Linked DNA regions of Rattus norvegicus. The protein of the gene in region 6 interacts with the protein of the main gene of each other region in a pairwise test. Links are inferred from orthologs where the notes say so. Each region holds a gene or a part of one and is shown on either strand. Other genes may lie near its edges.

What was found.
Region 1: the proteins of Atxn1 (region 6) and Zhx1 interact in binary tests that used the Homo sapiens proteins (3 or more experiments, as listed by UniProt). The link is inferred for Rattus norvegicus from reciprocal best matches to the Homo sapiens genes ATXN1 and ZHX1.
Region 2: the proteins of Atxn1 (region 6) and Ywhae interact in binary tests that used the Homo sapiens proteins (3 or more experiments, as listed by UniProt). The link is inferred for Rattus norvegicus from reciprocal best matches to the Homo sapiens genes ATXN1 and YWHAE.
Region 3: the proteins of Atxn1 (region 6) and Fdps interact in binary tests that used the Homo sapiens proteins (3 or more experiments, as listed by UniProt). The link is inferred for Rattus norvegicus from reciprocal best matches to the Homo sapiens genes ATXN1 and FDPS.
Region 4: the proteins of Atxn1 (region 6) and Cpsf7 interact in binary tests that used the Homo sapiens proteins (3 or more experiments, as listed by UniProt). The link is inferred for Rattus norvegicus from reciprocal best matches to the Homo sapiens genes ATXN1 and CPSF7.
Region 5: the proteins of Atxn1 (region 6) and Mettl27 interact in binary tests that used the Homo sapiens proteins (3 or more experiments, as listed by UniProt). The link is inferred for Rattus norvegicus from reciprocal best matches to the Homo sapiens genes ATXN1 and METTL27.
Region 7: the proteins of Atxn1 (region 6) and Dnaja3 interact in binary tests that used the Homo sapiens proteins (3 or more experiments, as listed by UniProt). The link is inferred for Rattus norvegicus from reciprocal best matches to the Homo sapiens genes ATXN1 and DNAJA3.

The regions. Positions count from the first base shown.
Region 1 is NC_086025.1:91,476,341-91,480,134, forward strand, and holds part of Zhx1 (zinc fingers and homeoboxes protein 1), read right to left. Parts: intron 3,679-3,794; 5' UTR 3,452-3,678; coding exon 830-3,451; 3' UTR 827-829; intron 1-826. UniProt on the Homo sapiens protein: Acts as a transcriptional repressor. Increases DNMT3B-mediated repressive transcriptional activity when DNMT3B is tethered to DNA. May link molecule between DNMT3B and other co-repressor proteins.
Region 2 is NC_086028.1:61,081,469-61,085,756, reverse strand, and holds the start of Ywhae (14-3-3 protein epsilon), read right to left. Parts: upstream 2,824-4,288; 5' UTR 2,708-2,823; coding exon 2,644-2,707; intron 1-2,643. UniProt on the Homo sapiens protein: Adapter protein implicated in the regulation of a large spectrum of both general and specialized signaling pathways. Binds to a large number of partners, usually by recognition of a phosphoserine or phosphothreonine motif.
Region 3 is NC_086020.1:176,798,171-176,801,964, forward strand, and holds part of Fdps (farnesyl pyrophosphate synthase), read right to left. Parts: intron 3,231-3,794; coding exon 3,090-3,230; intron 1,860-3,089; exon of another isoform or gene 1,753-1,859; intron 1-1,752. UniProt on the Homo sapiens protein: Key enzyme in isoprenoid biosynthesis which catalyzes the formation of farnesyl diphosphate (FPP), a precursor for several classes of essential metabolites including sterols, dolichols, carotenoids, and ubiquinones.
Region 4 is NC_086019.1:216,591,300-216,595,677, reverse strand, and holds the start of Cpsf7 (cleavage and polyadenylation specificity factor subunit 7), read right to left. Parts: upstream 2,889-4,378; 5' UTR 2,827-2,888; exon of another isoform or gene 2,801-2,826; intron 2,691-2,800; exon of another isoform or gene 2,553-2,690; intron 2,220-2,552; exon of another isoform or gene 2,195-2,219; 5' UTR 2,140-2,194; coding exon 2,086-2,139; intron 1-2,085. Other genes in the region: Sdhaf2 (succinate dehydrogenase assembly factor 2, mitochondrial precursor), read left to right, coding at 3,060-3,095.
Region 5 is NC_086030.1:27,400,219-27,404,713, reverse strand, and holds the start of Mettl27 (methyltransferase-like protein 27), read left to right. Parts: upstream 1-1,511; 5' UTR 1,512-1,557; intron 1,558-1,871; 5' UTR 1,872-1,872; coding exon 1,873-1,995; intron 1,996-2,488; coding exon 2,489-2,617; intron 2,618-3,151; coding exon 3,152-3,287; intron 3,288-4,495.
Region 6 is NC_086035.1:19,331,532-19,335,325, reverse strand, and holds part of Atxn1 (ataxin-1), read right to left. Parts: intron 2,024-3,794; 5' UTR 1,861-2,023; coding exon 22-1,860; intron 1-21. UniProt on the Homo sapiens protein: Chromatin-binding factor that repress Notch signaling in the absence of Notch intracellular domain by acting as a CBF1 corepressor. Binds to the HEY promoter and might assist, along with NCOR2, RBPJ-mediated repression. Binds RNA in vitro.
Region 7 is NC_086028.1:11,380,038-11,383,831, forward strand, and holds part of Dnaja3 (dnaJ homolog subfamily A member 3, mitochondrial), read right to left. Parts: intron 3,453-3,794; coding exon 3,319-3,452; intron 1,733-3,318; coding exon 1,649-1,732; intron 1-1,648. UniProt on the Homo sapiens protein: Modulates apoptotic signal transduction or effector structures within the mitochondrial matrix. Affect cytochrome C release from the mitochondria and caspase 3 activation, but not caspase 8 activation.

The DNA.
Region 1 (3,794 bases), on a different chromosome or scaffold from region 6:
AAACTCTAGCAAAAGTCTGATGACATTTTGGGGGAAAACAATGGAGAAAAAAGCATCTACTTTTATTTCAGTTTCCTTGAATACATCAGTCCTTGTGCTGTGGTCTCTCCCTTCAGTATACTTGCCCTTAGTTTTAGTTTTGTTTTATTTTTTAATTGTTTCCTTACATAGTCGAAAATGAAGCTTTAGTAGAGAGAGAAGGTTACAAGAAATACCTTTTAGTTACCTTTACTGTTTGTTTTCTGTTTCCCTTCTTACTTTTCTTTGAAACAAATGAAAAATTTTTGTATGGAAAATAAATAATTAAAGGGACATTAGAACAGTAAACCCTATATAATCATCAAGCTACAAATCATAATAATACATGTCATGACTAGTGGCAGCTGGTCCTCTTATTAGAAAAACAAGTATTAAAAAAATTAGTAAAAGTGAAGATAAGGGCTAGGGAGATGGCTCAGGTCACTAAAATGCTTACATAAAAACATGCAAACCTGAGTTCATATCCAATACCCCTCATAAGAGCCAGGCACAGTAGTACACACCTACATTCCTACTGAAGATGTAGAGATAGGTGGATCCTTGGAGCTTTTGGAGTTCCCTGGACACCTAGTATCACTAAATCAGTGAGCTCCATGTTCAGAGAGATGCTGTTTCAAAAAGTATGGCAGAGAGCAATAGAGGAAGACAGTATCAGCCTCTGGCCTACACACGCACGCATAAACACACGCATGCGCACACATACCCACACTAACACGAAGATGAGTAAACTAATAAGATGGCTGTTAACACATGTATATGATGATAAATACGAAGGCTAAACACTTACATTTCAGTCATCCGATTTAGAAAGCTTCCGCTTCACATGTCGTGGGGGTTCCCAAGTGTCACTATCATCTGTTTCTTCTTCATCTTCTTCCTGATCATCAATAACCTCATCTTCCTCCTCATTTTCCTCAAATAATTCTATACCTAACTCAGATCTTCTTTGTCTTTCTGCAAACCACTCTCTGACCTGCTCGTAACCCATGTGTGATCTGTTGACAAGTTCATCAAGGTCTTGCTCATTAAGAAATTTGTGCTTCAGGTAATAATCTTTAAGTATTGCTGTTCCAGTTTTAAACTTTATGAGCGACGGTACCCTGTCCCAGGTGTTCATTCTTTTTCCTCCTCTGGGCCGCCCACGTGGTCTGCCTCTGCCTCGTCCTTTGGGTCTGCCTCTCCCTCTTTTCCTAAGGGAGGACAGACCATTCAAACTACTTGAATTGGAGCTTTGATAGTAGTAGTACCATTTCAAGTTCCCATTCTTCCAAGCATAACGGGTATCTCCAAACCAACTAACTATGTCTGTTCTGGCAAGCCCACTTTCTTCAGCCAGCTTGTCATACTCTTCTGGTGACGGCCACTGTGTTCGGACAAATGCACTTTTAAGCATGTGCAGTTGCTCTGGTGTCTTCTTACATATCTTGCCTGTCCCTGCTGACTTAGGTGCAACGGCTTCGTCTCCAGGAGAATTTTCTCCAGGTTCTTCTTTGGAACTACCTACATTACTTTCATCTACTTCTACTTTCTCATCCTTTAAAGCTTTTGTTTTATTTTTCTCTGTAAACCAAGCATCAATTTCTCTTCTAGTAAGTTTGGTTTGCGCTCTTAACCTATTTAATTCTTCATCTGTAAGTACAGAACTGTTGAGAAAACTTGCCTGAAGGACACGAAGTTGCTCTGCAGTTTTCTCTTTAAACTTCTGGGGAGCAAAGTCAGGAAAGGGATTCCAGGACTGTTTCGGCTGTGACGCAGCTGCAGCTGGGGGTTCTGGGGTTTCATCACTGGAGTCTATGATGATAGTGGCAGAGGAGTCGTTATTGAGATGTAAGCACTGGTTACTCTTTGAATTTCTCTGGTTGTACCTTGTATCACTAAACCATTTTTTAATCTCGCCTTTGGTAAGGCCTGTTATTTTCATAAGCCTGATGATCTCTGAGTCGTGGGGAAACTGGTTTTTAAGGTAGCTAACTTTCAGTTCTGCCAGCTGTTCCTTAGTCTTTTTGGCCCGAATACCAAATGAATCTGGGTTCACTAGTGCAGCTTCAGGCCTGACACTTGGCGATGATGGAACTGCTGCTGTGGCTGGCTTTGTTTCTGCAGCAGGCTGAGCAGCAGGCACTTGACTCTTTTGTACATTTGTTTGATTTGGAACCCCTGCCACTGTCAGAGCAATGGGAGCCGTTACTGGCAAGGTGTTTGCTCCAGCTACTTGAGTAAGGACCAGACCTGGCTGACCAACTATTTGGCATGTTTGTAAAATAGATGGTAACCCATTACTTCCTGTGGAAATGTGTGTAGGAATAACAGTTATGGTCTGAGGTACAGTATGCACTGTTCCATTGAATTGTTTTCTTCTTGCCTCCTCTACTTCTTCAGGAGTCCAACTAACCCCATGCTTTAAACGTTGGGCTGAAAACCAGATCTTGATCTGTTCCTCTGTATATTTTGCTTGAGCAGAAAGAACTGTAATTTCTGACATTGTAGGATAAGGGAATTTGTTGTAGGTGTTAAGTAGAAGAGGATTGTTATCCAATGCAGCATTGTAGGTTGGAATGCTATTAACAGGGATTAAGACCTTAGGGACCAAGTTTGAGTTCTGTTGAGCGGAGACTGCAGTTATCACCTGTGCTAGCCCAGGAAGAACAGCTGTGGGGGTCACCACTGTGCCTGCAGGACTGGGATGCACTCGGTTGACAGTGGAAGTACTTGTGTTAGATTCTGAAGCTGAAGAACTCGTATTTTCTGCATTTTCTTCCCGGCTTGCTTTTACTCCATTCTCTTTCTCTTCAGAAGTGCCCTCAGCTGAGTTATGGTGAACTGTAATCCGTTTGTTTTCTACCTTATTTTTCATCATTTTCATAATGGGAGTTTTACTAATGGAGATTCCCGAAGAAGAAACATCTATGGATTCTCCTTGTTCTGTATTCTCCTCTTTAACAAAACTGCCATCAAAAGTCAGATCATTTATTGTCTGTTCAAAGATTGTCTGGTTATTCCGCTTCACCATAGTCAGTTTGAAATTTTCTTCTCCTGGGTGGTATTTCAGATTATGCTCAGAAAGTGCATCATACCTTTTGGTAAGAAAATTGCATTCAACACAAACATAGGATGAATTCAGCACAACATTGGGATGTTCTGAATCTACATGGAAAGTAAACATATTTAGATCTGGAGTTTGAAAAGTACAGTATTTACATTCATAGCCCCCTTCCACTTTCTTATTTTGCTGATTGTCAGAATCCACAGATTCGTGAACTTCTTCATCGCTGGAGACACTCTCTGCTCTAGCATTTTCTACGGGTGTAAGGACGGGAGGGCCTTCTTCCAAATCCGATATCAACTCAAGATCTGGATCCTGCTCACTGGCAAGGACCATGCAAGGTGTTGTTGATTTTCGTCTGCTTGCCATTTTGATTTTAGGGGCAGGGAGGGAATCTCTGGTGATTTAAAAGCACTGAGGCTTAAAACTGTTTGGAATCCTTCATTGGAAAACAGTGGCTTCTGGCTCTTCAAGTCCACTTTTGTGCTCAACAAGTCTCATTAGTAGCGTCTCCATGGTGCACTCAAGTAAAAAGCTTAGTTGGCAGATAAAACACTGCTGAACTGCTGAAATGTATGAAGCACAACTCCAATCACCTACATTGGAATAAATTTAAAATGTGTGACTATGATTTTAATCAGATTATGTTATTATACTTTACTTATGTTAAGCTGTGGCATAGGTCAGTTATACAGATATATACTCTGAATCA
Region 2 (4,288 bases), on a different chromosome or scaffold from region 6:
TTCCTATGAATGCCTTCTCCCTTTCTACTGATTCCCTTTTCTTACACCAAATCACAGGAGTGCTTCCTATTTCCTTCCCTCATCTAGTGTCTGAAAGGGGCCAGTCACCACATGGCTTTTCTACAACACGACACTCAATAGCCAACAAGGCCAGGCTTTGGTCAAAAATCTTCATCATTCAAACCCCAAGTATGGTTTAACTTGTCATTTATTTGGAAATACAATCTTATTTGCAAATCCCTTTTTAAAATGACTTAGAAACGAATCAAAAAGCTTCCCCATACCTCCTTTTTTTGGGGGGTTGGGGGTATCATATTTACATAAAGCCTAAATTACCAGAATGTAATTTCACATTTCCTCCCAAGAACACAAGGGGGGGGGGGGCTCTTCTGGAAGGTGAGAGGTGAAACCTCCACTACAGCCAACTCTCCTGGTTCAAAACACACTACAGATAAGGCTCACCTGGAGCTGCAGTAGTATTCCCCGTCCCACCTCCTCCAGCTCCCAACCGGAGCCTAGTTCAGTACAAACTTAAATCTGCAAGACAGGGGTTGGGGATTTAGCTCAGTGGTAGAGCGCTTGCCTAGGAAGCGCAAGGCCCTGGGTTCGGTCCCCAGCTCCGAAAAAAAAGAACCAAAAAAAAAAAAAAAATCTGCAAGACAAAATTTAGTTCATCATCTTTCCTAAATTGGAGGTTTTGAAGCCTGCTGTTCTACTTTCCAAATGCTGGAACAGTGGTGACTTTGGCAAAGACGTATGACTAGTTCAAAAGTCACCACAGGAGAAACTGGCATTCAAGGAAAAAGGGCCTGACCTAGCATTTGAGAAGCAAATGGTTTAACTTGGAAAAAACATGAGGAACACTTAATTCCAAAACTTGTCTCATTCGACCCTACCACTCCCTAAACATTAAACTCACAGGACCCAGTCTTAGTGTTCATTCCTTTAATCTCGGGGGGGAGGGGGGGAGCCTGGGAGGGGGAGGGTGTCAGGAGAGATGGATCTCTGGGAGTTCAAGACCAGTCTGGTCTACATAGCATGTTTCAGAACAGCCAGAGCTACACAGCAATTAATTAAATCACAGGAACCATGTGTGTGACTTTTCATTTTTAAAGACTAGCTTAACGGCCTATTGCCTAACTCCAGTTATCTAGTTACAAAATTAGAATTTTGTACCTAGGCTACACAAGCACAGTAGATGTCAATGAAATTCTCAAAAATGACTGAATTCAAATTAGCAGGCGCTAAGGATGTAGCTAAGTTGAGAGGAGAGCACTCATCTAGCACATACTAGGGCCTACGTTCCATCACCGGGAGGTGAGGGGGGTGTCAAATGAACAAAGAGTAACTACTGAAATTTGTACATAAAACCATTCACTTAAAATAGATAAAACAGAGCTGTGGTGTAGCACAATATTTGAGCACTTGTCTTGCCTGCATGCAACCCTGGGATCGAGCCTCACTCATGGAACAATGAAATCATAAAACAGAAAGAAAAAGAAAAAAAAACTACAATCTTCTACATTCCTAATTCAAAATCCCCAAGCCCCAACTGAGTGCTCAAAATAGGTAAGGATCCCCAAGCCAAGCAAGAACATGCATTCCAAACTTAGGTTGTCAACCAAACGTGTTACTAAACGTTATTTGAATTAACTATTTCTCAACAGGTCTATGTTTCATAATGCTAAGTGTGAATAGTAAAGTCTTCAATTTTACAAACGGGTAAACTGAGGCACTGGCACTGCAAAGGGCAATCAGTACTAAGGAGTCAAGGCAAGCCTTGGCCTCCTGTATTCTTATCCATCAGAACTCCATGCTTGTGAAGGTTGGGGGTTGGGGGGCCAAACGCAGGAACTTTGGGATATCCGGGGTAAGAACAAACGGAGCATGAGTGAGGTTGTGCACCTCCCCGGAAGAAGGTGAGGCCGAAAACCTCCCCAAACCCTCAAATCCAAGGTGTGTCGGCCAAAGGGAAGAAATCCAATCGCAGCATCTCAGCTTGCCTCCACCCAAGGATAGTCTGCAGTGATTTCCAAACACTCCACCCTCACCAAAGACTACTCTCCACCACCGGCCCAAAGAAGCCGTCCGCTCCGGAGGCTTCTCCTTTGTGAGGCTCCACAGCCGCCGCCCCACACTGGGCCTCCGGGGAAAAGCCACCGCCCCCACCCGCCATATTTCCCTGAAAGGCGCCGGAGCTACAGCTCCTAGATTCCGCCCTCTCCCGAGTGACCCGTGCTATTTCTCACACCACCCCACCCAATTGTCCTCCACACCCCGCCGCAATCCCGAAACCTCCCGTGGGGATTGCACGGCGGGAGACGGCACTCGCCATCTCCTCCCCCTCCCCCGCCCGGGGACTCGCCCTCCCCCTCCAGCCGCCATTTTACAACCAACTCCTCCACCCTACACCCCGGCCTGCTGGCTGGCGAGCGTCTGCAACCTAAGGACACCGGAGGGGTCAAATTCCTAGGCCCGGAGACTCCCACCGCTTCGGGAGCCCGCAGGCCATTTCCTGCTTCCCGACCCACGTCCCAAGCCAGGCTCGGAGACGATGCCGCCATTTTGTCTCCGGTTCCCGGCCTCTGTGGGCGGCGGCGGAGGGTCCGAGACTTCCAGCCCCCCGACACCCCCACAACTCACCGTCGTATCGCTCGGCCTGCTCTGCCAGCTTCGCCTGGTACACCAGATCCTCCCGATCATCCATAGCGGCAGCGGCTCCGGCAGGGTCTGCACGACGGATGGAAGCGGATAGCGTCTCCGACTCTCTCAGCTTCTCGCTCCGCGTCCGAGCAGTAAAAATGGCGGCGCCTCAATCCGGGACTTCCGCCTGCGCACGCGGACAACTGCTCAGCTCTATGGCAACCGCTCCCTGGCAACTGGCGCGGGGGGGCGGGTCCGGGAGTTCGGCGCCAGAAAAGGCTGGAACCTGCACGACGGACGCCCCTCCTCCGTCAGCTCAGCGGGCGACTCTGCGGCGAGGCGGGAACTGCGACTGCGACAGAGAGCGGCCCCTGGAGCGGCTGGAGGCAGGTCGGCTTAGACTGCGGGAGGGGAGTAAACCAGAAGCCTGTGCTAGGCAACCGCGGGCTGGCCTGTGGGCGACAGAGCAAGAGGCTTTATGAATTCTTGCTACGGCAGGCCTTCCTCATTGAGATCAACCTGCCCTGTGCACTCTAGCACATTTTTCTCATCCGTGTGCCCTTTTCAGGTCCTTTGAACCCCTAGGTAAAGAATTGAGAAATGAAGAAGGGAGAGCTCGAGTTTTCACGCATCACCATCTCTCTTGCTCACACACTGTAAGCACTTTCTTCTCCCCCTCCAGCTGTATTTTTATCTCTTTGGCCTATCATAGATAGGACTTTTGTTAAAAAGCCTCTGTTTTTGACTCATGTGCGTTGGTGCGTGCGTTTAATCCCAACACTAAGGAGGTAGAGGCAGGAGGATCGAGTTTGGATCCAGCCTCATCTACAAAGCAAATTCCAGGTCAGCCTGGGCTACATTGTAAAAAACCCCCATCTCAAAAATAAACAAACCACACAGAAAGGAAAGAGAAAGAAAAAGTGATCAATCTAAACTAATTAAGGGAAACCCTCACTAGAGGGAAAAAAGACAAGAAAGTGGCTTGCCTCATTCGGAGTGCAAGGTGCACCTGAGTAAGGGCAAATTGATGTGGATGAGTTAGAAATAAAGAATTCTCGCCGGGGCTGGGGATTTAGCTCAGTGGTAGAGCGCTTACCTAGGAAGCGCAAGGCCCTGGGTTCGGTCCCCAGCTCCGAAAAAAAAAAGAAAAAAAAAAAAAAAAAAAAAAGAAATAAAGAATTCTCAATGGGAATTGCTTCATTTGCAATGGCCATGCCTATTCTGCTTCCCAATGGATTTTCAACATCTTATACTCAATATCTGCTTGCTGCTGAGCCATGCAAGAAAAGGGCCTCAAAGTGTGAAATAGAAAGGTTGGGACCAAATTACCGTAGGCCTGAGGTCACAAGCTGAGAGGCTTGCATCTTAGCCTATGAACCGACAGGAATTGTCTTGTTCAAGTGCGGAGACTGACCCCAGAGCCTCGAGCATGAGCTTTACCACTGAGTTATAGTCCTAGCCGGGTAAGCCGTGTTTTGATGATTCTGAGTGGAAGATGACATCATCATAATTATACTTAAGAAAAGTATTACATATTTGCTGAAGTAGTGATTCACGCCTATAATTCCAGCACTGTGGAACCAGAAACAGAGGGATTGCCACAAGTTCCAGGCCAGCCTGGACTAAAAATACCCTACCTCGAAAC
Region 3 (3,794 bases), on a different chromosome or scaffold from region 6:
AGTCCCTCCGTGGCCAAGGATCTGTACTTCTGCCTTTACCGCTCCTTCCCAGGTGCCGAGGTCACAGCTGTCTACTGTCATGTTTGGTTCTGTGCACTGCGAGTGCTGAACCCGGGACCTCATGCTACCACTGAGCCACTCTGCCTGCTGGTAAATGCTCTTCCAGTTCAGCAATGCTGGCTCCTCAGGTATTCCCAGAGCCTAGCCCTGACCACAGAGTGGTGCCTCCCACGCGCTCTCTATTAGGGAGATGGAAGACTGAACACTCAACAACATCCAGGACACTTTTGGGTTTTGATTCCTTGAGACAGAACCTCGGTATGAAGGCCAGGCTGGCTTCGATCTCAAGGTCCTCAGCCCATCTCCTGAACACTGGCCCACGCACCTTCCGGCAAGGCTACCCGTTTGTTACGTGGCAATTGCTTTAACTGCATGCCTTGGCTTTACTGTGTTAAAGTGCTGAGGATGGAACCCAGGGCCTTACATATGGGATGGAAGGCTTTTGACCCCCACAACAAAATTATCTATTTTTTTTCTGTTTTAACAAACTTCTATTATTATTGTGTGCAAGGGCACATACATGCCACAGCACACAAATAAAGGTCAGAGGACAATTTCTAGGAGTTGTTTTTCTCTTTCCATCTTCCCATGAATCCTGGGACAGAACTCACTTTGCTGGGCTTTCGACAGAGTGCCTTTACCCACTAGAACCACACTGCCAGCCCCTCACTAGTCAGGGGTGAGGAAGGTGTGTCTCGGTGTGGATGCTCACACGTCACAGCATGCAGTGATGTCAGAGGGTGACTTCTGGGAGTCAGTTCACTTCTTACATGGGTTCTAAGGATCAAACTCAGGGCTCCAGAACTTTGACTCATCCTTCCACCCCTATGATTCTCAACAGAAGTCTATCGTTACATCATCCAAACACCGCAAACTGGTCTATTTAATAGACCAATAATTTAGTAAGTCAGTATGAGTCAGGCGTGATGGCACACATCTATGATCCCAGCACTTGGAAGGCTGAAGCGAGATGATCTTGAGTATGTGTGAGCTGTACACAGTGAGACCTTGTCTCATAAACAAAAACAGCCAGGCACTGGTGGCGCTCACCTCTAATCCCAGCACTTGGGAGATAGGGCAGGTGGAGCTGAGTTTGAGGCCAGCCTGATCTACAGAGTAAGTTCCAGGACAGCCAGTGAAAAATCAAAAACCGAAACCAAAGGGCAGGGACATAGTTAAGGGATAAGAGCGTGCTTACAATAGACAAGGCCCTGGACTTCAATACCAAATTGGAAACCTCTCACCCACCCAGGAAACAACAAAGTCAGACATTCAAGAGCCAGGACTGAAAATCAGAGCCATAGGTGGAGCACGTACCCTACATTAGGGAAGCAGCTTTTAATTCACTCTGGAAAATCATTTCATTAAGTGAACATGCCAGTGATCTGAACTGTTTATGTGTGTACATGTGTGCATGTGTGTAGTGTATGCATACATGTTATTATAGATTTGTAGAATTGTGTGCACATATTATATTGTGCACACATGTTTCATGTATGCATGTGCTCTGTGTACATGAGTTACAAATGCAATCATGTGGAGGTCAGAGGTCGACCTTGGATGTCCTCATTTTGGGGGAATTCTGTGAGATGTCTTCCTCATTTTTAAAATTTTATATAACATATTTTTGGTTATAACCAATCTTTATGTATTTTTTCACACATTTGATAGAAATGAAAAGACAGAAAGGAAAAAAAGAGAGTGACTGCCTCATGAATTTGTGTCATCCTTACAAAGGGGCCAAGCTAATCTTCTCTGTATTGTTCCAATTTCAGTATATGTGCTGCCAAACAGAGGACTACTTATTTTAAATGCACTGGTGCTGGTCTGCAAGTCTGTCTGCTAACCATGTGCATGCCTGGTGCCCATGAAGGCCAGAAGAGGGTGTCAGATCCCTAACCACTGAACCCCGGTCCTCTGGAAAAGCAGCCAGAGCTCTTAAACACTGGCCCATCTCTCCAGCCTCTCCACCTTATTCTTTGAGACAGGGTGGTCACTGAAATGGTCAGACTGGCCAACAAGCTCCAGGATCTGCACATCTATCCCAACTCCGGGAAGGGTGCAACAGATGCACACAGTTGTCATATAGATAGTGAGAAACTGAACACAAGTGTGTCTGCCTGCCTGCCTGCCCAGCAGGCCTTGTGTGCTTGTGTCTGTGTCACAAGTTGTATATATGGATGGGCATCTGAACTGGGCGCATCTGTAGCAGCAAGAGGTGAGTATCAGGTGTCCTCAGTTTTGGGAGACAAACCTTTCTGAGCCCGGAACTGACTGATTGGCTAACCTAGCTTGCCAGCGAACTCTGGGGACCCGCCTATCTCCATGCCCCAGCACTAGGTGAGTGTATGTATTACAGATGTGTACCACCAAGCACACACTTGGGTGCATTCAGTGTGGGCATGAAAACAGGGGCGGAGAAGCCAAAGGAAGATGCCAGGTGTCCTGTCTATCACATCAATGTTCCTTTGAAACAGGGTCTCTCTCACTGAGCCAGGCAGCCTGGCCAGCCTGCTGGCTCTACCTACCATGCAGATTCTGTGTCCAGAGACACAACTGGGTTTCTACGGCCCTGGCTCACACATTCGGCTCTTCTGATGGCAAATGCTCTCACCGGCCAAGCCATCTAACCAGACTTTAAAAGTCTACTTTCTTTTTTAATGGCATGTCTTCTTTGTTAAGTTTAAGAATTTAAGGTTTCTGTTATTTGAAACTAGGGTTTCTTGAGTAGCCCTGGCCATCCTAGAACTTACTCTATAGATCAGGCTAGCCTAGAACTCATAGAGATCCACTTGCCTCTGCTCCCTGAGATAAGATCAAAGGCATGGGACACCACCACATGGTGATATTTAAGGTGAGCATTTCTGAAAACTCTCTGTGCCCATCTGTCAGCCCCTGAAGGGATCCACACTGCCCGAATGACTGTAGCACACAAGAGACTCACACATCAACACAAGCAAGAAACAAGCTTCTGCTCCTCACCAAGGAAGCCCCAACTGTGGGAACTCTGCTTCTCCGACCGCTCTTACCAGTTCTACACACCAGCCCACCGTCAGGGCCCGCTGTAGGCTCTCAGCATCCTGTTTCCTTGGTTCCACCAGTTCCTGGAAGGTCTGTACCACCGTCAGACCCCGATTGTACTTGCCTCCTACAGTGTTGTACTCCAGGACCTGAGGCAGGGTGAGAGGACATCAGGGTCCACACAGAAGGGACCTGAAGAGGTTTCCCCTTTCCTTCTCCCTCTTTGAACCCCAACTCCCCTTGGGGAGTCCCTGGGTCAGTCCCCTCTTCATTTCTTCTCCAAAGTCCTATAGCATATGGAACCCAAGTACCTGCTACATAACATACCCCCAGTTCTTCCCTCAAGCCGAGAACTTGGACCACCTGCAAACAAGCTTGTAGTGAAGACAAGGGCCCTAGCGTAGAGTGATGGCTAACTCCTATAAGCTCAATACTCAGCAGGGAGGCAGGCAGACTGATGAGTATGAGGCCAGCCTCAGATACAGAATGAGTTCTGGACAGCCTTGGCTACAGAAAACAAAGAAACAAAACAAAAGACAAGGCTTCTCCAAAGTTAGCCAAAAGAAGGCATTGAAGGGACAGCAAGAGTCAGGGCTACGTCTAACCCTTCTAATGTCCTCCTCCTGGAGCCTTCTCAACTGTGCCTTCTGCCAGACAGCAGCCCTAACTAACTAAAGAGATAGCTCTTTAATACCTGCACAGTATAGACAAAG
Region 4 (4,378 bases), on a different chromosome or scaffold from region 6:
CATTAATTTTGGCTTTAGATTAGAAAATCCTTTTATAAAAAAGTTAATTAATGAACAAATTACTGAGGGTAATAATGTGTATCTTGACAAAGCAGTGACCACTGGACAAGAACGTCTTGTCTATGACCCCTAATTTATAAACCATTTATTACTTTTTCTTTATATCAAATATGGCCAATGTGTCAACGACTGTCTATTCTCCAAAGTGAATTAGTTGCAGTACCAGTCAACAACATATATTTAGAATTGGGGGTATCTTTCAGTAATACAGAACTAAGAGAGTCTTGTTAAAGAAGAAGCCATAAATTTCAAATGATAAAAGACTGACTCACACAAACACATAAAACCCAGAAAAGCCAGACTAGAGAGAGGGCTCAATAGTTAAGAACACTTTCTGTTGGTCCAGAGGACTTGAGTCTGGTTACTAGAATCCACATCAGGTAGTTCACAACTACTTGTAACACCAGCTCCAGGGAACCCCATACTACTAGGCTCCTTGGGTACCTGCAAACCACTCACATCCACAAAATTTAAAATAAAATAATGGGACATATGAGCTTCTTTTGTTGCCTACCAAAGTCAGGCTATAATCTAGGCAGTCTAGACCATTCTTTCCAGGTCCTTATGTGTACCCTTTGGAATACACCAGAACCAGCTAGCTTAAGAATAACAGTACTAAAAAGAACCCAGGTAAGAAAAAAGTTTTAATGGTATGCACTAATAAGTGGATATTAGCCCAAAAGCTCAGAATACCCAAGATACAATCCACAGACCACATGGAGCTCAAGAAGAAGTACCACCAAAGTGTGGATGTTTCAGTCCTTAGAAGGGGGAACAAAAATATTCATAGGAGTGGATATGGAGACAAAGTTTGGAGCAGAGACTGAAGGAATGGCCATTCAGAGCCTGCCCCACCTGGGGATCCAGTCCATATACATACAGCCACCAACCCAGACAATATTGCTGATGCCAAGAAGTGCATGCTGACAGGAGCCTGATATAGCTGTCTCCTGAGAAGCTCTGCCAGAACATGACAAATACAGAGGAGGATCCTCATAGCCAACCACTGAACTGAGATATGGAGGAATTAGAGGAAGGATTGAAGGAGCTTGCACCCCATAAGAACATTAACAACCAATCAGAATTCCCAGGGACTAAATCACTACCCAAAGAGTCCACATTCCCAGTGTAGGGGAATGTCAGGGAGGCGGGAAGGGGTGGGTGGGTGAGGGAACACCCTCACAGAAGAAGGGAGAAGGGGGATGGGATAGGTGGTTTATGGACAGGAAACTGGGAAAGGGGATAACATTTGAAATGTAAATTTAAAAAATCCAACAAAAAATATAACTAAAATTTAAAAAAGATAAAAGTTTTAAATAGAAACTTTTCGTTGAGCTTTGACCTCAAGATCAAAGAACTCAACCTCATAGATTACTTTTTAAGGTGACATTTAAAATGTAAAAACACAAATTCAAACTAGGATGACCAAATCTTTGACTTGCCTTTAAACTAGTTTTATCCAATGGTTTTTACCTTCCTTCCCATCCATACCAAAATGCCCACAGAATTCTCAGTCAAGCGATTTAAAAAGATTGAAAACACCTGGAGTGGAGCTAGAACTCCCATCTTTAACGCAGTTGATATACCGTCTTTCAAAGTTATCTCTCGTACTGTCTATACCATTGGGAGGGGACAAGAAGGGGGAGGGACTAACATGCTGGAGCCGCAAGCTGAAAGAACTGCAAAGTAACAAGTATCAAAATTATCCCCGCAATACTGCAACAAATGTAATTTTCATTTTTAATTATGGTTACTCATCCAACTTTGGAATGACTTGGGGAAACAATTCCACAGGCTGATTCACCATTCTATTACACTTGGGTTTTTATTTGCTCTTAAAGCAAACCCTTTAAAATTGAAGCCTGGAGGTTCAAATTAACATAAAGAGGAATGGTCAGTCGTCTTCAAAGTCTCCGCTAGGGGGAAACGCTTCGATACTAAAAGGAATTATTTTGTGGTGAGAGAGAAACCACTGTCAGTAGATTTGACCGAAGAAAACCCAAAACTGCTGCTAATTCCTCTCACCTGATTGAACTCTTCATCAGCGTATATATCAATCAAATCCACTCCTTCTGACATGGCTCCGGAAACACGCTCTCGAGCCCGGAGAACGGACAAAGTAAGAAAGATGCCACTACGGTATTCAGAAAAGGGTAAAAAATTTTAAGACACAAGGGTCCCAGGCTGGGAGGAGGGCAAGGGTCAACAACCTCTAGTCTCCCGAGAGGCAGCATCCCGGCAGCCCCGAGCCTGGCCCCACCCGCTCCGCCCCGCCCCCAGCCTCGCGCCGCCCCCTGCTCTCCCAGGCCGCTCGGGCTCGCGGGGCTCGCTGCCCATCACCCGCGGGCCCGACCGGAGATGCGCCGAGTCGGCGCCCGTAGCTGCCTATGGCGCCACTGCCAAGTCCAGGCAGGCCTCGACTCTTGAGAGGGCCCTCGGGCCGCGCTGTGAAGAACCACTGCGACCAACGCCGCAAGCTCAGCCCGTCGCACCTGCTAGACCCAGGGGGCGTCCCAAGCCGGAGCCCCCTGCGGGCCCGGAAGCTCCCGCCGCCTCCACTCCAACCCGGCCCGGTCCTCGCTCTCGGCTAGGCCTGCCCTGCTCCCTCCCACAGCTCCAGGATCTCAGCCCCTCCCTCAGAGGCCCGCGCTTCCCTCCACCCGCCGTCTTCCGCCGCCGCCACCCCAACCGACCCCCTCCCCTCCGCGGCGCCAGCCCCGGCCCTCCTTCCGGCCCCGCCGGCCCCCGGCCGCGCGCCCCCGTTACCGGGAATATGGCGGCGGCCGCGGAGAGTCCCGACTAGGCCCGAAGCGCGCGAACCGCTCTCCGCCCCAGGTCCCGCCCCCCCTACCGGCGGCGTCACACGCACCACTACTTCCGCCATACGCTGGGACGCGCCTTCCGGCTTGGGGTCCACCTCCACGGGTGAAGTCCTTAGATCGGCCGCCCGGAGTTCCCGGAAGAGGGTCGGTTGCTAGCTTCCTGTACTATAGGGAGAAATGGCGGTGGTCACCTTGATCCCGACGCTGGCGCGGGTGAGAGAGCCGAAGATTTAGGGTTCGGGGCGGGCGGCAGCTAGGACTGTTTCGTCCTCCTCTGTGCCGTGAAGACTGTAGGGAGAATTCACCCATCCCACAGAACCAGGGAAAGGTCCCCTCAAGGCGAGGCGCATACTGCCGCTGAGCATGCAGGTCATTTTCCATTGGTTACTTAGCCCACGGTGTGTTCGAGTGAGAATACTGGATACTATGTAGTTAAGTGGCCAGTTACCATACGAGACTCAAGGCATATCTCACTTATGTCTCCAGGAAGAGTTACCGAACCTCCCCCGAAAGCCTCCTTTTTTTTTTTTTTTTTTTTTTTTTTTTTTGGTTCTTTTTTTCGGAGCTGGGGACCGAACCCAGGGTCTTGCGCTTCCTAGGTAAGCGCTCTACCACTGAGCTAAATCCCCAACCCCCGTCTCCCTTTTTTAAAAGCCGGTTTTAATTTGTTACTCAGGCTGGCCTGAAGCTCGCCATTCTGTCTCATCCTGATCTTAAATGTCTGTATGTTTGAGAATTTTCAGGTTTTATTCCAGTAGTGTTGAAAGCTAGTTGATATGGTTTATCTTAAACTTATCGACATGTGAGCTCCTGGGCATATTCATCCGTACATTTGAGAGGAATGTATGCTCTCTTGTGTGGAATGTCTGTATACCTCAGCTAGATATACTTAAATTAGTATTGTTCTGGTTGTCTAATATTGATTCCCCCATCTGGATGTTCTATTCCTTATTAAATTGTGGCATTAAAATCTTTGTTTTCACCCCCTTCAGTTCTGTCAGGGTCTCTTTCATATATTTGAGTGCTCTATTAGGTCCACATGTATTTATGATTTTCATTCTTTCTTGCTAACTCTTTAATATATATAATATTCTTTATCTCATATGACAATTTTGTTGTTGGTGCTAAATGCCAAACCCAGAGCCTTGCATGCTAGGCAATTTCATTTTCTTTCTTTATTCATTTTTTTTAAGTTTAAAAAATATGTATTTATGTTTATGTGCCTTTGTGAGTTATGCCCGTGTGTGTAGGTGGCCATGAAGGCCAGATGAGGGTGTTGGGTTTTCTGGAATTGGAGTTACAGGTGGTTTTAAGTGTGTGTGTACAGGTACCACTGAAGCTAAAGAGGGTGCTAGGTGCCCTAGAGTGGGGGAGGGGGATAGGAAGAGTGGGGGCTGGCCTTGTATAGTTTCAGAGGCTTTCTGAAGCCTTTAAGTTGTTTGCTTCCTGAGCTTAAGGAGCATTCCTGTAGGACGGAATATATTTATTACCGTTCT
Region 5 (4,495 bases), on a different chromosome or scaffold from region 6:
GCGACTTATAAAATACTTCCTCTAAAAATAAAAGTAGTTTTAAATTAATTAAGTAAAATAAATACTTCTGAGGACTGGGGATATACCTCAGTTGAGAGAATGTTTGTCTAGCATACACTAAATCTTGAGTTCAATGCCCAGAACGGCATGAATCAGGCAGGAGGATGAGAGGTTAAGGGACATCCTTGGCTATATAGAAAGTTCAAAGCTAACTTGAGATGTGAGCTATGTGAAACTGTTGGGAATCAAACAAATGAGGCTTATCCAAAGTACTGCCATTTTGTTTGCAGACTCCGTTTTGATCATAAGGTGAAATGAAGTTCAAGTTCCCAGGCTCTAGGGTAGCCGAGGACTTCCTGGATGGCTAGCCAACTTCCTCCTTATTCTCTTGTCCCCCAAAACATGGTTGTTCCTAATCATGAAAGAACAAGTGATTCTGACTGATGGAAAACTGTGACCGAAACTTGGGACAGATCTCTGTGGTTTTCGAGCTTAAAACCTCTGTACCGGGGTTGGGGATTTAGCTCAGCGGTAGAGCTCTTGCCTAGCAAACGCAAGGCCCTGGGTTCGGTCCCCAGCTCCGAAAAAAAGAAAAAAAAAAAAAAAAACCCCTCTGTACCATTCTGGCTCTGAAGGGAAGTTCAGCTTCTAAGTCTGTTCTTCGGCCCTGATCGATCAGCAACGGTCTGAGTACAATAAAATTTTGCCAGCTGCTTAAATACCAAGATGAACGTTGGAAGACACAGTCAGCTCCCAAGTCGGTGCCATTGTCCCTGTCTGGTCAGTTTCCGTGCCTAATTCAAATAAAGATCTTGCTTTGCGGGGTTGGGGATTTAGCTCAGTGGTAGAGCGCTTGCCTGGCAAACACAAGGCCCTGCGTTCGGTCCCCAGCTCCGAAAAAAAGAAAAAGAAAAAAAAAAATCTTACTTTGCGTGGACTCTTGTGTCTGCTTGGGTTTGTTTTGGATTTTTCAGACCCTAACAAACCATACAAATATTAAAAATTGGGCCCAGTGAGGTGGCTCAGCACATAAAAACACTTGCCGACAAGTTTGAGAATCTGAGTTTCATGCCTGGAAATCACATGGTAGAGGAGAGATCAGACTCCAAAAAGTGGTTCTCCGCCGCTACACATGATCCCCAAATAAATAATTTGGGTTTTCTTTTTATATATTGTAGCTGGGAGCAGTACCACAGGATTTAAATGGCGTATAGAAGGAGTCTTCCTGGTCTATAGAAGGAGTTTCGAGTCATTCAAGGCTTCCTAGCAAGACCTTGTCAAGAAGAAAAAGGGAAAGAAAAAAAAAAGAAACATTTTTATTCGTTTGTGAAAAAACAAGAGCAAATCCGCCAAGTAGAATTTAAGATCTTCTCGGGCAATAAGACTATAGCATTACGTTCATTGGCTCGTAGTAGGGGGCGGACTGTCATTTTCTTTTCTGATTGGCTGCTTTCTCTCACGGAAAACCAATCGCCGCTGTGCTAGAGGCGGGGCCAGGCTCTCAGAGACTTCCCCTCCACTTCCCGCACCTCTGCCTGGAGAAGCAGGCTCCGTAGGGTGAGTTCTGACCTTTCATTTCCTTGGAGACCCTTGCAGTGAGGAAGAACCCGGCCCCCTTCAAGCCCCGATCCACCTCTGGGAATGATGGGCTGAGGCTTAGTCCTCCCTCCCTGCTGCGGAGAACCCCCTCTCTACGAACCCCTCGCCCTATAAACAGTGCCAAGGTGTAGACGTCAGCTCCTGCCATCTCCCACTCAAGGTCTCATTTGAGACTTGGGAAGGCGTTGGAGCACTGATAACCTCCTCCGCCCGGTGAGGGAGGGCAGAAGACTGTAGCGGATACCATGACTGGGTGGACCCTATCCCCACAGGATGGCTCAGGAGGAGGCCGGGAGGCTGCCCCAAGTACTGGCCCGGGTGGGGACCTCCCACGGTATCACCGACCTGGCCTGCAAGCTCCGCTTCTATGACGACTGGGCTCCGGAGTATGACCAGGTGAAAGCACGTGGGTCCTCGATTTTGGGGACTCAAATTGTGCAAAGCGAGAATAGTACCCATGCATCTCAGGGACGCTGGGAGCTTAAAAAAGGGACCTGGGAAACGTGCTCCTTAGCTACCTGCTCCCTACTGACGTGTAAGCAGCCCCTTCTAACTCTGGGTTGGACCTCCCCTACTTCAGCCAAGAATGAGCCACCTAATTAGTCCTGCAATCCAGACAGGGAGATTGCCTGCAGGAGGCGCTATTGAGACATCATTCGGTATACACAGACCAGCTAAGAGCTGCCACAGCCAGTAGCCAGTTCCTGTCAGCTTGAGCTCTACTAGTGTGGGGTCTCTTGACAGTATTCTCCTCAAAACTGAGTCTTCTGTTTCTGGGGTACCAGAAGGATCCAAACCCTAACACACACCAGCTCAAACTGGCAGCTCCTAGGGACCCCACAAAGTGAATTGTCCAAACCCTATGTTGGGCTAAGTGCTATCTCCTCAGGATGTGGCTGCTTTGAAGTATCGAGCCCCACGCCTTGCTGTGGATTGTCTCAGTCAAGCCCTTCAGGGCCCACCCCATGATGCCCTGATCCTGGATGTGGCCTGTGGCACTGGCCTGGTAGCTGTGGAGGTAAGATCTGATACAATGCCCTGCCTTCCCTTCAGCACCCAGGACCTCCAACACGCTACTGCTCAGTCAGCCCTCAGGCCCTACATAGTGAATTCTAAGCAGGTGCTCTACCACTGAGCCACACCCCCAGCCCCTCACTGGGGGATTCTAGGCAGGGGCTCTCCCACTGAGCCACGCCCCCAGCCCCTCCCTGGGGGATTCTAGGCAGGGGCTCTACCACTGAGCCACACCCCCAGCCCCTCACTGGGGGATTCTAGGCAGGGGCTCTCCCACTGAGCCACGCCCACAGCCCTTTAGATGGCTTTTTAGAGATGAGATCCCAAGGCTGGCCTTGAACTCACTCTATAAACCAGGCAGGCTTTGACCTTGGGATTCTTCTGCCTCAGCCTCCAGAGTAGCTAAGAAGGCAGGCTTAAGCCATCACACCTAGACCCCGTCTGCCCAAATTCCCTACCACTTCTTGACCAAAAACTCATCCTCTACCTCCGGTTCATTGATCAGATGAGCCATGACTGATGCCCCCTTCTCTCCCAGCTACAGGCTCGGGGCTTCCTTCAGGTGCAGGGGGTGGACGGAAGCCCAGAAATGCTGAAGCAGGCCCGAGCCCGTGGCCTGTACCACCACCTTAGCCTCTGTACCCTGGGCCAGGAGCCGCTGCCCTACCCTAAAGGTACTTCCTGCTCCACTCCCTCCTCACCCACCTTCCCAAGGATAGCACCCCCTACTGTCCAGCCACCATCTCCACTCTGGAGTCCTGTGTGAGCCCTCTTGCTGTGCCCTCTCTTCCAGCCTAGGCTCTCACCTCACCTCATCTCATGCACAAGGTTGGGGTCCTACTACACCCCAGTGTATAGGGCATCTTCGTTGATTTATTTTCTGAGAGAGGGTTTTTCTGTGTAGCTGTGGCTGTCCTAGAACTCGTTCTTAGATCAGGCTGGCCTCAAACTCAGAGATCCACCTGCCTGTGCCTCCCAAGTGCTCCCAGATTAAAGGCGTATGCCGCCACCACCCAGCTACAATGTCTTCTATTACTCTTATTGCTGTGGCAAAACACCAGACAAAACATAATCACGGGGCCCCACCCATCCCTAGGAAGCTACCGGCTGTTGCTGGGGCAGAGAGAGTCCTTTTCTTCAGTGGTGTAGCCACAGGCAAGTTGCATGTGCCCCAGAACCCCCATGCACCAAGCTCATGCAGGCCACCGCCAGTTAAACTCAGTGGGTCACAAACAAAGTAAGACCTGAAAGTAGCAAGAGGTGCCGGGAGATGGTGGTACTTGAGAGGCAGAGGCGGGTGGATCTCTATGAGTTCGAGCCCAACCTGGACTATAGAGCTAGTTCTAGGATAGCCAGGGCTACACAGAAAAACACAGTCTTGGAAAAACAAAAAGATAGGAAGAAAGAAGGAAAGGAAGAAAGAAAGAAAGAAAGAAAGAAAGAAAGAAAGAAAGAAAGAAAGAAAGAAAGAAATTAATTTATCAGAAGCTAGAGGAGGCTACGGGTGGACGGGAAGTGAAAAGGACCACACCACATTATATTCGTGCATCTTCTTAAGGGGGTTGGAAAAATGGCTCCCTGGGGAAAAGCACATGCTACTCTTGCAGAGGACCTGAGGTTGGATCTCAGCACACATATCAGGTGATTCACAGCTCCCTGTAACTCCAATCCCAGGATAGGATGCCTCTGGCCTCTGTGAGTACCTGCACCCACAGAGAGACACGCGTGCTACACTGGCTGGGGAGATGGCCCAAGAATTAACATCTCCTACTGCTCTTAGAGCGAACCCAAGCTCTGATCCCAGCACCCATATCAGGCAACTTCAAGGGATCCAGCGCCCTCTTCTGGAGTCCAAGGGCATTACAAGCATGCTCACATCCAT
Region 6 (3,794 bases):
TATGACCCTGGTGAGGGTTACCTGGGCTCGGTGTTCACCAACAGCAAATTGTATCACGGCCACACCGGGGCTGTGGCTGTCCTCGATCCTCTCCACAGTACTGGAGTCGATCTTGAGGTCATTGCTAATCTCTGCACTCTGGATGAAATCCTCTGTCTTCAGATCCTCTACCTTCTTCAGCTCCCCGTTGGCCAGCTGGATGATGGAGCCTTTCATGAAATATGGCGGCAGCGTGGGTGATGCCGCGGCAGGGGATGCCACGGACTGTACCACCGGCAGGTGGATCTGGGCCTGCACCATGGCTGGGTAGGCTGCCTGGGTGACCAGAGCCTCTGGGTTGAAGTTCTCGCTCTTGGGCAGGGCGGTGGTGACAAACGTGTGAGGTACTGCAGCAAACTGGGGCGATGACGTCACTATGGCCGAGGCTGCCCCAGGTGTGTCCATGTCAGGGCTGCCCACTGGGATGAGCAGGGGCTGGGTACCTGGGATCACCAGGTGCTGGGGCAGACCACCAGCATAGGTGATTGCTTGCTGCTGGCTACTCAGATAGCCGATGACAGGAGGTTGAGCGCCAGCATAGAAGGCCGTGGCTGGTAGGCCCACCGGGAGAGGCTCTGATGCGCTGTGTGTGGTCTGAATGACCGTGTGTGGGGACAGCGCGTAGGACCTGTGGCCGGGCTTCCCTAGGTGCAAACCGCTCTTGTCATTGAGGGTGGATGGGGAGGCCTCTCGATGTGTGGCCTGCTGTGTCTCCAGGTCGGCTGAGGGTGTGCTGCTGTTGGGCAGGACCATCACAGATCCACGGACCCCGGAGGTATCACGACTGCTGTAGTCTGCTGGGCTCGGGTGGACCACCACATGCCTGGACTCATAGGGGTGAGGCACTGACTTGCTGCTCGTCTTCCCCAGGCTCAGCTCCACAGAAGATGACGCCCCATACCTCCGGCTTTTCTCCATCTCCCCATTGAGGACCTCCTTGGCCTGCATAGCCTGCTGCAACCTGCTGCTTTCTGCTTTTTTGGTGGACTCTCGAGGAACAAAGTGGCCTCCGGCGTCACTGTATTGCACGACCACCTGGGATGAAGGCCCCAGGGTGAGCGTGTGCGGGATCATCGTCTGATGGGGATGGAGGTGGACCGGGATGGGTGGAGATGTTGCCCGCCCGGAGCTCTGTGGAGAGCTGGAAATGTGAATGTACTGGTTCTGCTGGGTAGGTGGAGGGGACCCCGGGTTGACTAATCCCGCAGCCCTGCCGAGGTGCTGCTGCGGAGGGGGCTCAACCTTGTGTCCTGGTGCCTGGCTCAGACTGCCCATGTTGGCCAGCAGGGTGGAATATGCCTCCAGCTGGGAGCGCTGTGATGGAGTGGTGGCCCCTGCAGCCGAGGCCACCGCACTGGTGACTGGGTTGCCTGGTGGGGAGATCAGCTGGGAAGGGATAAAGCCCGCGTAAGGCCCACTATACTGGGAGGACCCAATGAACTGGAAGGTATGTGATAGGTGGGCGTACTGCACAGGAGACACCGGCGTCCCTGACTGAGGAGGAGGGTACACGGTGGGCAGCGTGTTGGCTGTGGGGACCGACCTGGGGGCACTGGGTGGGGAGTAATCCAGCCCTGCGGACAGTGCTTTATGTAAACCCATTCCTTGTAAACCATGTTCCCCGGAAGTCCCTGCTGGCCCGTGCCGCCCACCCCCGTGGCCGCGGCTGCCAGGGGTGCTGGGGAGCCATGCCACACCCTCCACGCAGTGGTTGTCGCTGGGCAGAGCAGTGGCCTTCTCCTCGGAGGGCCGACTGGTGGCGGGGATCTCACGTTTCTTGGGAGGCAGGCATTCATTGCTCCGCTCTTGGTTAGATTTCATTTTTCGCCGTCCCCCCTCCACGGTGGCTGTTTCACTGTCTGGCTGGCTCTGGTTTTAGTCTGATAAACAGAGAGTCACATTGGATTTCTGTAGGGGATCCAGGCCCTTCATGAGGAATCATCTCCCCGTGGGTTCTCTAGGCTGGCAGTAGCAGCTCCGGATTCTGAGAAGGAGAAGAGAGCAGGAGTCGGGGGATAGGGACAGGAGAGAGAGAAGAGAGGGGGAAAAAAAATCAAAACATCAGCTCTGGGGGAGAAACCTCACCAACCAATCAACCCACCCACCAACAAAAACACTATTACCAACAAGATTAAGAGGAGACCCTCTTAGTTGGAATTGCAAAAGCAGATTATGGCCCAAGTCTAAAGAGCCAGTAAGAATCAAGAGAGTGACGAAGTTTAAGGGTGTCCTTTTCTTAAACATTTGCTTATTTGATTTATTTGTTTGTGTGCGTGCCTAGGAGAGTTTATGCACACCATGTATATGTGCCAGTGCCTATAGAGATCACAAGAGGGCGCTGTGTCTCCTGATACTGGAGTTGCAGGCAGTTGTGACTCACAGTGCAGGTGCTGGGACCCTGACTTGGGTCCCCTACAGGAGCCGTAAGCAGCTGTCTTGACCACCAGCCATCTCTCCTGCCCAGATGTGCTTTCTTAATAAACTATAGAGTAGGCAGCCCAGCCAAACATTTCTCCGCCCCTTCCGTCCTCCTCCAGCCTTTCTTCTTTTCCTAGAGGGTGGGTGATCACTTTTTCTTTTCTTACACCATCTCCTGTTGCTCAGGCTATCTTTGGGTAGATGATGCATTTCTGTAAATCGTTTTTACAGAAAGGTTGCTACCTAATTCCCCATCACGACTTTATCTTCGTCCAGGGAGGCCCCAAGAGCTGGGCTTTGTGAAGGAGCACGTTTGGAATGGAGATGCCCAGTGAGTCTTTGGGTTTTTTCTTCAGCTTCAACGACAGAACCAATACTCTTAAGATTTCACCTGGCTACAGGGCTACACTTCATCTACGGTAGTGCCCCCTATTCTAACGGTGCCTCCCACAATGTACCCATGTACCCCAACTCAGCAGCCGTATTGGAAAACAATTCTTCTCACTATAAAGTCTCCAGGGAGTTCCAAGTACAGTCATTTATAAGGAAACACTGAGACATCTTTGAGACAGTTACAAAAACTACTCTGTTTTTTTTTTTTTTTTAATAAACCAAACACAGTACGTAAGATGAGCCCTGACATGTTGGCTCATGTGAGCCTAGCACTCTGAAGGCTGGGGCAGGAGAATGACCACCAACTTGAGGCTTCCTTGTGCTACGATATGAAACGCTGTCTATAAAAACGGTGCATAAACAAGCACATGCATGAGTGAGGGAAGTAGAGCCAAGGCTTTGAAAGTTTCCTTAATAAAAGTTAGGTGCTTGCTTTACCCATGAGCCTTCTCTTCCTTGTTCGTCTCTGAATAGTCTCTCCCCACCATCTCCTCCCCTTCTCTCTGGCAGGGGCCTGTTCATTATGAGCAGGAGAGGAGATATTTGCCAGACAAACCGCAACCACGTGTCCAAGCCCAGCCACGTAGTGATGCCAGGAACTCTTATGGAGCGATCCCCGTCTTGGTCTCACGGAGTCACGGAATTCTGAGTCACCACCCCTGTGTGAACAATGTCTACCTGGCATGGGGCAGGCTGCCAAGGTGAGCAGTGTGTAGCATGCTAGCAGCAGGAGACGGGAGTGTTGCCCATGGGGAGAAGCTGCAGAGGGAAGCAATATCCAAGACTCTGATTTGAGGAGCTGCATTTCTGGGCTTGGAACCTGAATACATTTCCTCCTCAGATTCTTTTCCCTAAGATGTGACTTGTAAACAGACTCCCAAAGTAGGATATGGTCATGAGTGTCTGTAATCTCAGCCCAGGAGGAGTTGGGGCAGGAAAATTAG
Region 7 (3,794 bases), on a different chromosome or scaffold from region 6:
TCTGGGTCAACAAATGGGATTACAGAGAGGAACGGGCCACTGTCAGAACCATCTGCAGTCATGTTCAGAACATGATCAAGGGTGTGATGCTGGGCATCTGATACAAGGTGAGGTCTGTGGATGCTCCCTTCCCCATCAACATCGTTATTCAGGAGAGCAGGTCTGTGGATGCTCCCTTCCCTATCAGATGAGGTCTATGGATGCTCCCTTCCCCATCAACATCGTTATTCAGAAGAGCGGGTCTGTGGATACTCCCTTCCCTATCAAATGAGGTCTGTGGATGCTCCCTTCCCCATCAACGTCACTATTCGGGAGAATGGGTCTGTGGTTGAAATCCGAAATTTTTTGGGTGAGAAATACATCAGCAGGTTTCGGATGAGGACAGGTTCTGTCTCTGAAGCCCAAAAGGATGAACTAATGCTTGAAGGAAATGATATTGAACTTGTTTCAAATTCAGGGGCTCTGATTCAGCAAGCTACAACAGTTAAAAACAGTATCAGGAAGTTTTAGAATGGCATCCGTGTGTCTGAGAAGGGAACTGTGCAGCAGGCTGGCGAGTGAGACCTCAGTTTCCCAGCTTCAGAAACAAGATCCTGATCACAAGTAGGATCGGGCTCTTTGGGGACAATAAAAGACTCATATATTAAAAAAAAAGACTCACTGTGGCCATGGTCTCTCTTCACAGCAATAAAACCCTAACTAAGGGGCTGCAGTGCTCACTGGCTAAGAGCATTGACTGCCCTTCCAGCGGTCCAGAGTTCAATTCCCAGCAACCATATGGTGGCTCACAACCATTTGTAATGGGACCTGATGTCCTCTTCTGGTGTCTGGTATGTCTAAAGAGCGTGACGATGTACTTCTAAACATAAAATAAATGAATAAAAAACTGCAACAACAATAAAAAAAGCCTAGCTAAGACAAAGGGTCATTCTCCAATAATTCTGTGAATGGGCAATGGTTCTTTCACAGACATTTCCTTTTTCCTGTGAGCTTATGGTCCACTTTTACAATTGCTAACTTAAGCCATCAAATAAGGGCCGATTTGATCACTATAACTGGGGTTTCCCAAGACCAGCTATCAATATGAATTACCTGAAGACCTTTATTGATTAGATGAATCTTGTTCTTTTTTTTTTTTTTTTGGTAGTAAGGCAGATTGTATAGCCCTGGCTGGCCTTAAACTTACAGAAATTCTTCTGCCCCCAGACTCCGCAGTGCTAAATTACATATATGTCACTACTTAGTGTCTCTTTTTTTCTTTTTAAAAAATTACACCTATTTATTTTATGTGTGTGTATATATACACACATATATACACGTATACACTCATATATATATGAGTGTTCAAATGCTGTGGAACTCAGGTAGGGGTCAGAGGACAATCTGTAGAAGCTGCTTCTCTCTGTCTACCATGTGGCAGAAGATAGACATACCCACTGACTCATCTTGTCAGCCTTTTTCTTCATTTAGATTCTAAGTTAGCAGAACTAGCAATGACATCACACCACACTGGACTATATGATATGCCAAGTTGTCCTGGGCAGTACAGACTCTGACACATGCACAGAGAGCTGACTGGCCAGTGAAAACACACACACACACACACACACACACACACACACACACACACACACACACGTCACATTACCTCATAAGCTTCTGCCAGCTGGGAAAACTTCTCCTTGGCTTTGGGATCATCCTTATTTGTGTCTGGATGATATTTCTTGGCAAGCTAAGGGGGGGGGAAAGCAAATTACTATAGATATAGTTACTAAAACAGAACCTAAACACTTGCCACAATTATGCCTTTTTATAACATGTCTCTCTTGAGACAGCAATGTATCTTTAAAGCAAGATTTAAAATTTGAAAATAAATCATTCCTCCATGGATGTCTTCCAAAAATAGTTCATTAAGGGGCTGGAGCGATGACTCAGCAGTTAAAAGCACTGGCTGCTCTCCCAGAGGTCCTGAGTTCAATTCTCAGTAACCTTCTAGAATAAGATCTGGTGCCATCTTCTGGTGAGCCATACACATGCAGTTAGAACACTCTACATAATAAAAAAACTTAAAGTAAAAAAAGCATTTAGTACCCTTGCAGAGGACCTGGACTGAGTTGCCAGCTCCTGTGGTAGCTCACAACTCTAAAACTCCAGTCTGACGTCCTCTGCTGATCGCTGAAGGCACGGAGAACGCATGCAGCACACATGCATGAGACAAACGCTCATGCACATAAACCAAAAATAAATAAATGTTAGAAAGTAGCTGGTAACTGTGTGACTAGCTCTTCGGCATGCAGGCGCCTGTGTGAAAGCAGAGAGTAAAACGCCATCCTGGCACACTGACTTATGTAATAGAGGAAGTAAATAACCTGTACGACTTTGGTTGTTTGGATTTACAAGTCAGGGTTTATGAAGCCCCGGCTGTCCTGGAATGAGCTCTGTTCACCAGGCTGGCCTTAAACTCAGAGATCCCCCTGACTCTGCCTCTTGAGTGCTGGGATTAAAGGCATGCGCCACCACTGCCTGGCTTTGTTTTTTGTGGGTTTTTTGGTTTTTTTGTTTGTTTGTTTTGAGAGAAACTGGCCTTAAACTCACAGAACTTTGCTTGCCTCTGTCTCCCAGGACTGGGATAAAAAGGCATGCACAACCATACCTGGCCTGCCTGCTGTGCAAGGTTTTGAGGGATTATGTAATGCACTCATGGCAGTTACTGCTATAAAAAATAATAATGATGATGTTTTCCTATATAATTTTCATTTATTTATGTCATAACTGTGTGGTCAGCATGGTATACATGTAGAGGTCAGAGGACAACTTTGTGGAGTCAGTTCTCTCCTGTTTAAAATGGTTTTGGAGGAATTAAACTCAGGTCACTAGGCTTGGTGTCAAATGACTTTATCCACTGGGCCATCTTACCCACCCCTTTTCTTTCTTAAAGCAACATTAACTGATATCACATTCACTGCATACCAAAGGCATCCAAAACTCTCCATCTTTCACAGGTCATTCCACAGGATCAGCTGTTTGTGACCTGCCTCAGCAGGCTGTATACCAAGGCAATAAGAACCACACAGAATCAACAACGATTTGGGTTGAAGAGATAGCTCAGTAGCTAAGAGCACATACCCCTTTTCCAAAAGACCTGAACTCAATTCTCAGCCGTGGCAGATGGTTCACGCTGCCTGTAACTATAATCCCAAGGGGATCCCTGCCCTCTGTGAACATCTGCATCACATACACACATACACATGCACATGCACACACAGTGACCAGCAATCTTTCTACAGTCTTGTCAGTAAATCTGAGACCAGTACAGACCTGATAATAGGCTTTCTTGATATCCTTCTGGCTGGCATTTCGGGGTACTCCCAGTATCTGGTAATAATCATCTTTGGCCAAAGAAGCACTTGTGTGGAAGGAAGCAGTACAAACAAAAGGGAAACTTTTTGTTCCTGGAAATGAACAAGAAAGTAAGTTGGTCTGGGACTTTATCCAACAAGAAGAAATTATAAGTAAGTGACCAGCTATGAAACACCTGTGAAAGAGGAAACGAGCCCCAGCTATAGGGCCTATTCCCTTCGAGTACTCTAGAGGCCAAACTCAATGTTCTTCAAATGTGGGGAAAGCTTAGGGACATAGTTCAGTAGGTACACTGCTTACCAGGCCCTGAGTTTGATTCCCTGCACTGAATAAACCCAGCACAACAGTGACGATGAGCACATGCCCACAGTCTTAACATGGGGAGAGGGAAACAGAGGATCAAAAGTTCAAGGTCGGGGTTGGGGATTTGGCTC